3 linked regions of the Drosophila melanogaster genome follow. The protein of the gene in region 1 interacts with the protein of each later gene in a pairwise test. Each region holds a gene or a part of one and is shown in the gene's direction. Other genes may lie near its edges.

The links. The genes of interacting proteins can lie anywhere in the genome.
Region 2: the proteins of CG17580 (region 1) and CG3769 interact in a two-hybrid assay, tested with the Drosophila melanogaster proteins (one large-scale study listed by BioGRID).
Region 3: the proteins of CG17580 (region 1) and CG13643 interact in a two-hybrid assay, tested with the Drosophila melanogaster proteins (one large-scale study listed by BioGRID).

What each region holds. Positions count from the first base shown.
Region 1 is NT_033778.4:12,804,566-12,808,678, forward strand, and holds CG17580 (uncharacterized protein), read left to right. Parts: upstream 1-2,048; 5' UTR 2,049-2,132; coding exon 2,133-2,354; 3' UTR 2,355-2,469; intron 2,470-2,524; 3' UTR 2,525-2,664; intron 2,665-2,721; 3' UTR 2,722-3,246; downstream 3,247-4,113.
Region 2 is NT_033779.5:9,433,312-9,437,342, forward strand, and holds CG3769 (uncharacterized protein), read left to right. Parts: upstream 1-2,087; 5' UTR 2,088-2,198; coding exon 2,199-2,402; intron 2,403-2,513; coding exon 2,514-3,416; 3' UTR 3,417-3,531; downstream 3,532-4,031. Other genes in the region: scat (scattered), read left to right, coding at 1-1,604; RpS28-like (ribosomal protein S28-like), read left to right, coding at 3,642-3,872.
Region 3 is NT_033777.3:24,903,005-24,908,311, reverse strand, and holds the start of CG13643 (uncharacterized protein), read left to right. Parts: upstream 1-2,307; 5' UTR 2,308-2,405; exon of another isoform or gene 2,406-2,585; intron 2,586-2,835; 5' UTR 2,836-2,933; coding exon 2,934-2,973; intron 2,974-4,887; coding exon 4,888-5,102; intron 5,103-5,263; exon of another isoform or gene 5,264-5,307.

The sequences.
Region 1 (4,113 bases):
ACCACACAACTTATATTGAGCCGTTTACAGGATTTCTCAATTAAAAGCGACATTTAAATTAGATTAAAAATGGCAATGTATAATTTGTTTCAAAGAATAACTATGTATGCCACAGGCCACACACACTAACCTGCTCGCATTTTCTCACACCCTTTGAATCCTTCTTAATCTCCAGTCGGAGAGCAAACAAAAAGCAAAAGCAATCTTTCCTTTGTGCCACGTCTCGAAAGTCTGAAGAGATCCTTGCCAGCACAGCCTATTTGCTGCTGTTTGCTCCTTTTGAGGACCTTTGCTTTTTCGAGGGTAAACGCTGCAGTGCCAGAGGTGGAGAACTTTGCAAGACTGAATAAAAGTCGGCCTAAAGTCTTATTGTTTTCTGGTTTTTATCTGAAAGCTGCTGCTGCTGCTGCCTCAGCTCTGTCATTCGAGGTCCTGTGAAGTTGGCGATTATTGTTGCAAACTTAGTTGACAACTTGCCTGCTCGTCCTGCCATCTGCACCGCCCACTTATCGCCACCACCGCCCACCCCAAGGCCATGCAGATGATGGGCCGCCAAGCGTAATAAGGCCGAAGCCCAGGGAAAGAGGAAGTCTAGTGAAAATAAACAGTCGGACAGCCAAGTTGGGCATAGTTGAGCTTCTCGGCATCTCAGCTTCGCAGTCTTGCAGTTTCCCAGTTTCCCACTCTCACAGTTTTTCAGTTTCCCAGTTCATAGTTTGCCTGTTGTCTCCCCATTGTCCTGGCCATTCTTTATTTTTCAGTCCTTCCACTCCGGCTCTATATTATTATTATGTCTTGGCCCGGACTGCACAAAGTTTTGCCATTCTCTAACGACTTTGAATTTTTAATAATACCCCGCTGGAGCTTAACAATTTTGCCATCGTTCGGTTGTAGCGGCTAAGCTTTGTTACCAATTTAATGCATTTCTTGGTTGACGGAAATTGAATATCCGTTAAGATATATTAACAATTTATGCCGCCCTGATTGCCGACCCCCAATGCGGGTGCGGAATGAGGAGATCTATGCCTTTTTTGCAGTAAAATTGAAAACGAAACGAAACGGAACCAAAGCACACAGATACTATACACGAACGAACGGTAGCTGTGGCAAGAGAGCAGTCATCATCAGGGCCATAATGAGCAAGTCAATAGCCGGGCGGGCCAGCAGCAAAGGGAAAAGTCGAGGGGAAAGCCAGGCAATCGATGACGGAGCAAGGAAAATGCCGGCTGCCAGCAGTCATGCAGCGACGTGCGATAAAAAGCAGATTGCAATTTGTTTTACTGATTTCCATGCTTTTGGCTTTATTTGCACGACGGAAACTTTCATTAACATCAAACAGAAACTGAAATTGAAGCAGTAATGGCATCGCCAGCACTCCAAAGGATACAGCCACGGGGAAAAGCTGGAAAAGCCGATCGAAATGCACTTAAATCATGGCAAGAATGAGATCTACGGCATGCTTAAGTGGCATTATATGTACATACATATGCGCATATACGAGAATGCCATTATTAAGTTGCATCCTTCATTTGCTCAATTTGGCCAGTTGACCAGCTGGCCATTTAATTGATACGGCAAAAGGTCAGGGTGATGGTAGACCCACTTGACACCTCACCAAATTCCAGAATTCTTTGGGCAAACATTTGAGCAACATAAATGCACAAGTCCTACCAACCAATTAGTTGGCAAATAATGGAGAGAAATGACTTTTCATCTCTCGACCGCAAACAAAGTCCTTTTGTATTCCACCCAGGACCTCCTGTTCTGAAATTTATGCACGGACTTGGGCCTGCAAGGATCTCGAGGAGTGGCGGACGACTCTTGTTTTGTGTTCCAAGTAATTTGAACAAATTTGCGAGACATTTTGTGGCCTCCGAGCAAATATTTCAGGCCAATGCTAACCACCCCATCATCATCATCATGGCTTGGGCAGGCCTTTTGCGGACAAAGGCCAATTAACTTAAATAATTAGCCAGAAGTTTTCGCCATCGGAGATGAATCTCAGCCTACGAGATGCTCAAGTAATTTCAATAAAATGTTATCATTCGGTTGCTGTCGAGTTGCCAGGGAAAATCCAATCAATTATCGCCCAAGGGAAGCAAATTCGTACAGAAAGTTAAAGGCCCAGGGAAATGGGAAACAAGCTGCGCCGCCAACCACAAAGAGTTGAAGTTGACGAGGAGGAGGTGAGATCCGACCGACCCCAGAAGAAGCCACCATCGTCATGGCCCTTCTGGCGCCTGGTCTACTGGCTGGGAGTCCTCATCATGGTCATCGGCATCGGTGTGGGCATGTACTTCACCCTCAAGTCGGACTTCGGTGAGTGCTCCTCCTACGACGTCCGTTGCGATTGAGTGCTCCTGGCGATATAGAAACTTCCACGGAAATGGCGGAATTCATTACCCATTGAACTTCAACTAATTTGAAGCAGCTTGGCCTGCGAAAGCAATTGTTCTACATTTAGCGAGAGTAAGTATGCCAGCAGATATTAAAGAAAACTATTTAAAATTATTTCCCAAATTAGATTTAATTAAAACTTATACACCAGTTATGTTTTCTTGTCGAAACATCAGTTTGATCTTTTTACTTTTTATCATCGCAGTCTACATTTGCCTGTTTGTTTTATATATACTCCACAGAGTTGGTGAAGATAATTAATATTGGGTTTGTAATATTATTTTTCATTTGCCTTGCAGTATAAACCAGCTTATCTTTTCGCAGATTCATATGTAAAGTTATTCATTTGTCTGTTCTCCTGTTTGAATTGTGATATGCTAAGCTTGGTTATATCACTATCAACTTACGTGCAGTCCAATACTTGTCATACATGAATTCTAGCAGCTGGATCTTAATTAAAGCCGGATGAAACAACCCACCCCACACTAGACCGCCTCCTTTATTGTTAACAATTACAAAAGCAAGGCCGAAGCCGCGCAATCTCCAGCAACACATGCAGATACATTTGTGCATGTAGACGTGTGTATTTGTGATGCTATTCAAACTTATTGGAGCGCTTCCTTTTGATGGCGTTCTGGTTGACTCTTCAATGGCGAAACACTTTTTAGTTGAATGAAGCTAGTGAATGCACATATTTTGGGTTGCATATAAAAAATCCTACGATTATTCACTGGCCCTATTTATTTTGGTGTTAATTAACGAAGTGGAGAATGGCATTCATTGATAAAAGTGTACAACGATTTTTATTTCACATATTTATGCTATTGCTGTAATTAAAATAACAATTTGAATTAAAACTCTAATTTTAATAAATAAACTAAAATTGCACACTTATGACGACACATTTTATTTAAATTACCAGCTTAGGAAGTTGATTGCTTCTACTAAACGAGACAAAAGTTATTTATTTCGGTGCGTTGGGGGTTTATCTTAAAACGACTTCTTATGAGAGGGGCCATCAGTCAAGGTCAAGCTTAACAAAGATTTGTCGGCAATTCGAGCTTTTATTTCTTTGACACTTGCCAGACTTCTTTCGTTCGCACACAGCAGGTGAAATATAAATAAACTTTTTAATGAACTTTAAGATTTATTGCCAGCAGCAGCCGCAGCAAGTCAAGTCTGACACTTTGTGGCTTTAAATTTTCGGACGGGAATGTGCTGTTTAGATAAATTATACAGCACAATATATCCCGAAGGCACTGGCTGGCTGACTGAATATTTTGAATGTGAAGAGCACCCTGCCCTGAACTAAATATTCTGCAAATAATTGCACTCGACATCGACTGAATAGACCTAGCCCACAAATAATATCTTAATGCTTGCTCTGTATTTTACGAGCTTCCACCCATTAGACGCACACACTGCGTATGCGTAATGTCGAAATAATATCATTAGTATAATTGAACATATCTTGGTGTTGGCTCGGTCAGGCAATCAGATGTCACAGGTGATGTTATAAAATTCACAAAGCAAGCGGCTGATGAGCTGATTATTTACGTTCCAACATCTTTGAGGAGATAATTAACAATGTCGAGACATCAATTATCGCAATGTTGCAGCCAGCCCCCCAAGCGAAATTGAACTTGAAAAAGTCAAGGACTTGGGACTTGGGAATTATTTGTGTCGCTCTTGTTGTTTCACTATGTATCCTTGCTG
Region 2 (4,031 bases), on another chromosome or scaffold:
AGAAGCTTATTGACAAAATGCTTACCACGGAATTCGAGCGCTATGCTGCCGCCGATCTAAATCGACCGTTAACGGATGCCCTCCGGGAAACCGACAGCGTTTGCGCCGAGGAGGATAAACTCGTAGCTATTGTGATGGGCCTGTTGCGCAAGCAGAACTTCTCCTTTGTCCAGGCTTACCAGCAAGAAGCAATCGCCACCATTCGAGCCATCATAAAACAGCTGCTGATTGAGGTTTTGGCACGGAGTGACAGCGATCAGGAGATCAGTTTAACGGGCCACGGAGAGCAAGCCTTGGAGCTCACCCTTCCCGAATGGATTGCTCTGCTCCAGCGCTCCAGCCAAGCTTTGGTTTCCATTCTCGAAAGAATTAAAACTGTAGTTGGTATAATGCAGCAAACAGCGGACGCAGCTGTGGGAGCCCAGGACGCAGTGAATCTGATAGATTCAGAAGCCTTTTTGAGTCCGGGACACCATGAGCAACTAAAAAACCAATTGCAACAACTGCTTCAAGCCGTCTGCCACTACTGCCATGAGCGTTGTGCCAACATTGTGTCCCCTCAGAGCCTGGAAAGGAGCTCAGCTAGCGAGCAAGAACTTTTCCAACTATCTGAGATTGTGGATCACTTTGGCGAGACAACAAGGAGCATTTGTGGAGTGGCCAGTGTGCCCCTCCAGCTGGCCCTCAAAGTCCAAGCCTCCCGATATGCTCAACGATTCCATTCTGAACGAAAGCAGAAGTTGTCCTTACTCCTGGATCAGGAGCGCTGGCGCCAAGTAGACATTCCGCACGAATTTCAGAGAATAATCGAACGTATGGCCGCCGGGGACTATGCCAAACCGGAGATGGGCAATCTGATAAGCAATGGAGCAGGCAACCCAGTGCTCTTGGTGGAAGGCAAACAACCGTACACGTTGGTCAGCGCTTCGCTAATGCTCATCCGAATGTTGTATGAGTACGGTTGTAGTGCACATCGGCTGCCATTGTTAGCCAGCTATCACGCCAGGAATGTGGTGGACCTGCTGCGCTGCTTCAACTCAAGAAGCTGCCAACTAATTATCGGAGCAGGAGCAATGCGAGTTGCTGGGCTAAAAACCATAACGAGCACCAACCTGGCTCTGGTTTCGCGAGCACTGCAACTAGTTCTATGGCTACTGCCCAAGCTGAAAGAGCATTTCCAAGCGATGAGCGGATACGAAACTATCGAGCGGGACTACCAGGGTCACATCAAGGAGATCGAGAATAAAATACACGGAATTGTATCCGAGAGATTGGCAGCTCAACTGGATGCCTGGGAAGCCAGACCACCTATACCTTCTCAGACATTCCGTCACATCTCGCGTCACCTGGTGAAACTTCACGAGGCCATCGCCGGTGTGCTGCCGGAGGCACAGATACACGAAATCTACGGCGTTGTTCATCGAAACTTTAAAGACAAGCTGCGGGAACAACTGCTCAAGTTGAATGTGAACAACAATGGGGGTCCGCAGCACGGGGTGGTGACATCAGAGCTGACCTTCTACATGGAGACGCTGCGCACACTGAAAGCCCTGCCCGCCGAGCAGCTAGACAACGGGATTCTGGAGGAGATCTGGCTCTACTGAGCATTCCGAAGTATTCCATATGGTTGCCGCGGAAATCCTCCGACCGCCCAGCCTAGTTCGTCTTCATTGTTTGTTATCCTTGTTTTATTTATACAATACCGATTGTCGCGTCCAGTTCAGTCTATCTTGTTTGCCGCTGTACATTGCTTGTACTTTTATGTTCCGCCCTATAGCAAAAGGAAATTGGAAATGTATCTCTTTTGTTGCGCACTTTTTTAACACTTAAGCTTAAAGTCGATGGAAGGCTTATGATTAAAGAATAGAAAATAATCAACAAATTTCAATGCGTACAAATCAATGGCGGTAAACGATTCCCTTGTTCCTTTAGTATTATTATCGTTAGCTGGATTTCTATTTGGAATATATATATTTTTTAATGTTTAATTTAATCAGATGACAACCAATAAATAAAGGAAATCCAAAATTAAAGCTATCCTTTATGTTCAAATGTATATTCAAATTTATGCAACTTAGGGGTGAAAGTAACGGTCAGTTTGATATTGCCTAGAGTTGCCACTCAGTCGCAGTTGCTAGTAGCAACCGTTTTAAATGCAAAACAAACCGCAGTAGTTTAGTTTATGCCCTTTTCCTGCGATGCGCTTGCCGCTAATCTTTCATAGCCTGCACCAGCGTCTTCAAAAAATGTTTGTAAAGAGAACTGAGGGCGGCGAAAGTGCCACGCCCAGCATTCAGGACATCGCCGGTCGACTGGCGGAGGAGCAGCAGCGGCTTCGCCAATTGGAGGCCACAACGACTCCCAAAGAGCGGACAATTCTTGTCTTGGGAAGCAAGTGTGTGGTAAGCAATGGATCCAACTTATAAATCCACGTAAAATCATATTCCAAAAAAGTTATACACTAAAAATCTACAAACCCCTTTTTAAAAATATTATATTTTTTATTATTTAAGGGTAAGACGACGGCCATTAATAAGTTCTTTGATCGCGAGGAACACGCAACGCGGCCAACTCTAGCACTGGAGTACAGCTTTGGACGACGGATTGGCAGTGGAAAGTCACCGCAGGTGATGAACGTTTGGGAACTGGGCTCCCTGGACAATGCCGAGCAATTGCTGGAAGTACCAATGCGGACACATGGTTTGCAGCAACTAGCCGTCATCCTTATGCTAGATCTCTCCCAGCCACAGCGATTTTGGACGGATTTGGAGTGCGCATACAAGGGACTGAGGGATACGGCGCAGCAGATGATGGAGAAGGTAACACCGGAGCTTAGGGAAATCCTCGAACAGCGAACAGTGGAGCGAGTGGGTCAGCAGAACAAAGATTCGGAAAAACTAGACCCTCTGCCCTTTCCAGTGATAATTGTCGGTGGGAAGTACGATGTGTTTTCTGGTTTCGATCCTATTATCAGGAAGCACACCTGCCGCTGCTTGCGATCGATGGCCCACCTCATAGGTGGCGCATTGCTGTTCTATTCCCAGAAGATGCCCAAGTTGGCCAAGGTCCTGAGGGACACCATTTGTCACTTGGGATTTGGCAGTCCTGCTCATCCGTTCCGCTCTCATGTCGTGGACTTCAATGAACCACTGTGCATTTGGTTTGGAACGGACAGTTGGTCGAAAATTGGTGATACTGGCGCCCAAAGTGTGGAGCGAATTGGAGCCACATTCGGAATGGAAGTACCGCAGCTGCAGCTAGAGAAGCAGAAGCTAAAAGAAACCACCGATCCGGCCAAGGACCCTGGTTTCAAGGAGTTAGTCATCGATGAGATCCGATCGCAGAAGAACGAGGAACTCGCAGGATTAATGAGGGATGTCTTGCTGCGCGGAAAGTTCGAAAGTGTTCAAACTTAATAAGCGGCTGGGATTAAGCAAAGATGTACCTCAAAGTATTCTAAAATATCCAAAACAAAACTGTCATTTGATATTGTAAGTTACATACCCCTAAATTAAATGTTTAGAAAGCTGTACTTTTAGTGTCTGGAGTTCATTTTAGGTCTGAAAGTTAAAATTCGAAAAAAATTCAGCATTAAATTTATCAATTTATTACCACAGCTAGTTTGACTTTAGTCAAAAAATATGCCCCAACCTGTCGCTTCCAAGGCTCGTGTCATAAAAATTCTCAATCGGATTGGAGCCCGAGGCATTCTAACCGAAGTTCGTGTGCAGCTGGTCGATCAACCCAAGATGCAATTCATGCGGACGGTCAAGGGACCTGTGCGTCTGGGAGATATCGTGGATTTCGAGGACACTGAGTTGACATGGCAATCTTCGAGCAGGAGCAATAGCAATTTTGAAGATATATGCTAGGTGAATGCAGAATAAATAAAATTGAGAAAAAATACCTAACTGCGAAAATCAGCCTATAACGATTTTAAAATAGCAACTTTGCAATTAACCAGTAAACTTTTAATTAAGGGTAGCACAATTCCACAGAGTGGCAACGCCATGTCAGGGATGCAGGCTGGC
Region 3 (5,307 bases), on another chromosome or scaffold:
GCAGAAAAAAAACTATAGCAAGCGAAAAAGAAATAAAGGTGAATCCAATTGAATCAAGTTCAAAATTATTTGTAGCATGTTCTGAAGCTAATTTCTTAACTGTGTGTTCGTATAGTTTCATTATTTAAATTAGTATAAGATTGATTTTAAAATATTACAGTTTTTTCTTTCTGTGAAGTTTGCACTATCTGTTGAATGGTTTTTTTGGCATTTTTTGGCGCGTTGCTGGTGGGATGGATGGGATGGGATCGAGAGTCGAGAGTCTGTTCAGGCGCATCTTCAGCTTAATTGAATTTTAGCTGCTGCTGCAGCTTCTGCTGCTGTTGGTGAATGCATTTTCCACCGGCTCCCACACGTTGTGCAAATGCTTTCGGCACTTTTACTGCACATCGGGCTTACATAATGAGTAAAAATTAAATAATTTACCCAGCCAATGGATTCTGGCGTGTACTGTAGCTTGTAGCTGCCAGGTGGAACACCGAATTCGTGTCTTTGTCGGCAAGCACATTCATCAATGTCAGGCGTTGAGTCCGAGGCCATTTGAGTTTCGAATAGATGGGTATTTAATTGAAAGCGCCCGCTAATTAGAATCCAATACGCTTAGATGCTGTGTAATGCCAAGCGATGGATCGTGTCGGACCTCATCTTCCAATAACAATTGGGACTTGGGCATCTGGCACTTCCTTATTGCTGGCCTTTCCCACGCAGAGGGATCGCGTGAGTCATTGCCACACACAGGAGTTGGATCGCAAGGCGAACAAACATTTATTACAAACAGCATTACAGCTCTTGCACAATCGCAATCGGCAGCAAATTAGAAAGATGGCGGCCACTTCCCACAGCTTTTTTGGCAGATGGCTCCGCTCCGCTCCATACCACACAGGGTTGAAAGTCATCCTCCAGTTGACATTTTTTCGCCAGCTGCTGATCTGCATGACTTTGGCTGCCTGGCCTTTTTCCGGCAGGCAACCTCAACTTTGAAATGCCAAGCTGCCAGCTTAGTGCAGTTTGGCGCACTTCAGTTCAGTTCCAGGTGACATGACAGCTTGAGGTTGCTTGCTAGCCATCTTTCCTGGGCAGCAAATATGGAAAATCTAAGCAGCAACGCCCAAGATCCGCCAAAGATCTGGCCAAAAGTAGCAGGCGTGTAAATTCCCACACTGCAGCAAATGCCGTCAGCCTAACCGTCACCCGGAGTCCCCCATCCATGGGGCTCCATGCCACACTCACCCATATACACATAACCGGATTGGCGGTGGCACCGCGACTTTTGCCCCGACATGGCAGCCGCGGCAGCAACGGCAGATGGGGCAGCAAATGACAAAGCCCCGCCACGGCTATGACATAATACCCAGCGGAAGATGCAACCAACGAGCTTGGTGCACCAAGTGCACTGCAAAAATCAAGAACATCATATTGTTCGAGAAGGAAATAAATTTGAAGTAAGATTTTAATAACCTAGAATATTTGTAAGGATATGTCGAATTCGGAAACCAGAGAAAAGGCTCATGTGGGCTACCAAAGAAGTTTTTTATTTTGTTGTACTTTTGATCAAATTTATTTGTAAAATCTAAACCTCTCTTTGTTCATCTACTTTTTTCCTCAGTGTACAGCGGGTGTAATTGATGTGGGGTCGTTGGTCGGGCGGGGGAGTGCTTGCCCATAATCATGAGCGGGCCCTGCGGCCAGCTGACGTAAGTGATGAGCGCCAACGACTCCTGCCAGGCGGTGCATCGCGTACAATGCAACCAAGTAAGTGTCATATGGTCACACGTTGCGTATGCGTAATTTGCGTTAAGCATACGACAGCGAGCCGCAACCAAATAAGCAGCAGAACCAAGAAGCGGTGGAAAAACAAGCACAAAACCGAACAGCAGACGACCACGAAGATGCGAGACGAAGCTGGAACGCTGATGCGCTGCTTGCGTCGACGACGCACAGTAGTTAAAATATACAAAATATACTTTAAGAAAGAAACTTAACCTTTCAACTATATGTATTAACATTTTAAGAAATCTAAACCAACAAGATGTTAAAATTCTATTAAAACGTAAGCTTTAATTTAACTCTTAAATACCTTAAATATTTATATTTACCTATTAAATACGTATGATTTCATAAATACAAATGCTTATATTAATCTTTAAAACGTTTGTAGTTTAATGGATGTATTGTATTTCAGTTTAGATCATCGGGATGGGATAAATTAGATTATCACACATTTTTGCCCCACTGTGCACCAGTGCGGCTGCTGCCTTGGAAGCAGCGCCCCGATGGGCTCCAAGTGGTTTTCCTTTCGCTTTCAGAAATCATTTCGCTTCGACAACGTGAACGATAAAGTCACAGATCGCGCATCGCGAGCCCGCTCTGCCCGCTGAACTCGCCTGGTTCGCCTGTCTCCTCCGGTCGGTTGTTGGTTGCTCCTCAGTGGATGTGGTTGGTGGTTGCTGGCTGGTGGTTCTGCTGTGACTCTGTGTTTTCCGCTGTTTGCCCAGCCAAGTGCGGCGGAGGCAGACGTCTTCAACGTCTCGCTGCACCTTCTAAATGGGCTTTCCGTAGTTTTCGCACCTTGCGAAACACATTTCGTACGCATTTACATACAAGATCGAAGTTTGAAGAATTTTGCCCTGCTGTCTGCTCATTTCCTACATGACGGACAACTTTTTATGGCGATGATTTTCGCGTTGAGTTAGTGAAAAAAAGAAGCAAAAATACAAAACAAAAAAAAAAAACAAAGTAACAAAGAAGCAAAAATCTTGTGCAGTGGGGAGTTTTGCAATCAAATCCCTTTCAATACTCATAAGATTTCTGGTGTTGTGCCCTCTTGTTTTGCAGTGCGATCCATGTGAAAATCGACATTTAGTATCAGCTTAATTGCTCTGGATTACTTATTGGATATCATCCTGATTTTGGATTATAAAAACTAATACAACATGCTGAGCATTATAAATGCAATGATTGCCTTCCTCCTGGGTGAGTAAAAGTTTGAATCTCAAAAAGGATATTATTTTAAGCAGTTGGATTAAGCAGTTAAATTTTAATTAAATTTTTTTAACTACATCATTACAAAATTAAGGTGACGTTTTTTTTTAATCTTAAATACTTTAAAAAATATTTTTCTATTTCATAATGTACATGTTCAAAGAAGGGTTAGGATTTATTAAACTACATTTGAATTGTGTCAAAATTTTCCCTTTTATGTTTTCCCTCTAAGTAAATGTAATTTTAAATATAAAAAAATATAAGCTTAACCCTAAGCAATTTCGTAGATTAGAAAACAGGCATCAACTTTAAGAAAAACGTAGAAATTCGATTTCGATTGAGTACAAAATTTCCAAACGTTTTTCTAACTAAAAACTATGTTTTGCTTTTTGTGATCCCATTTGCTGACGATCACCTTCTCTACATAAATGATAGCATATCGGTAAAAAAAAAAAAAAAATCGCATGCTCATTAGGTTTTGTTTTTGAACACATGAAATACAGATACAGTGCGCTGCTTCAAGGTCCATCGCGAAAGAAATTAATGGGATTCAATGGGTTTCATATCGATCACATTTGAAATCAAGCGTAATTCGCTTGGCAGCCCCTGCAGCAGGCAAAAATGAAGACAAGGCTGAGAAATGGCAATTACGGCTAAGAGTGGGTCATCAGTAAACATAATTACCATACTGTAGATTATATTTTTTCAGTGAGAGCTTGAGTGGGACAACGCCCAGCACAGTGGCTTGAGGGGATTTGAACTGCGTGAGAGCTTAGGTCGGCCCAAAGTTTTGACCAATTTGTAGGTTCAGCTCAGCAACCAAGCAATTGAAATCGAAATCGAACAATCTACAATGGATGGGGGTAACAAAAGAGCTGCCTGGGATGCCTTTGCCAGTGCCCCATGCCATCTGCCCAGTCATAGTTCACTGCCAAACAATAGGCTGCTTTGCTGGGGTGGAAAGTTGGGTTTGAAATTCACTTGAATTAAATGCGAATCAGAGTCGAGTTTCGGCCACAGCGTCTTTCTTTCTTCGAACTGTGCTGGATGGCTTGTTTTCTCTTTGTTTTGCATTTTGGGTTTCCTTTACCAATTTTTTTTTTTTTTTTTTTTGGCATGATAAATGGGGGCGCACTGGGGGATTATGCAACCTGCGACTGCAATTTGCAGCCGTAGAAGAGGAGCTTTGTTCTGCAGTTTGCCATGACAATTACACTTGCCTTAATTGCAGCGAAACCATCTTCCGCTGTCTGCAGAACAGAAGCTTCGAAGAATAAAAAAATATATGCAAAAAAAAAAAGATATGTCTAAATGTATATAAAAAGCCATAGACAACAATGATACATTGTTCAATCTCAGGGTAATTAGGCAGACCCCTGAGTCTGTTTTGCTTTTAATGCCCAATGTACACATGTCCGACAAGCGTAATCCGTAAATTTGATTGACTTGGCATTTTAATTGAGCGACCCCTATGTGCCCAGTAGATCCAGTGGATCCGTTTGTGACCACAGCGATCGCATATCGTTCGGCTGGCCAAAATGTTAATGATGTCGCTCGCCATCGCAAATACCAATCGATGCTCCGAAAAAGTAAATAAAAAGCGGTCCCAAGCACTCACAGAACCGAGTTAGTAGCTCCACAGCCTTGGACCGCAGCAAGTGCTCCGGCACACATAAATCACGAGCTCGTCTCGCAGTTGTAAGCGAAAGTGATGCGGCCCGAAGGTCACTTGACCACCAGGGCACCAGGCACCATCACCAGCAGCATCGTCTCGATCGGCACCAGCATCTGTTCCCACTAAATACCCATTCGACTCGATTCTGGCCCCACTTGAGGTGCCGTTTGAAGAGCAGACCTAACCGGATCACGATTTCTGACTTCTTTATATTGTTTCCACTCTTGCAGCAACGACACTTTGCAGTGGATACGGATACGCGCAGGCCCAGTTGCTCGACGAGGACGACGACCTGGCCTTCGGAAGGCCCTGGCCCACCTACAGCCTACAGAACATGCCCAAGACGCAGTTCACCTGCCACGACAAGATCCTGGGTGGCTACTATGCCGATCCGGAGACCCAGTGCCAGATGTTCCACGTCTGCGTCAAGCTGCCCGGAGTGGGGGTGAGTAATGTTGTGCCCAGGTGCAAGTGCTTCTGGTTGAGATCAAGGCAGCAGTGGCTCATGTAGCAAACGACATTGGCATAGAAATGATATATTTAATATGGGTACTAAATACTACCTTTTTTTGACAATAATATTTTCTACAGAATCAAAATGAAAATACTTTACAAATTTCAATATATGGTTTATTGATCAAAAATTACCA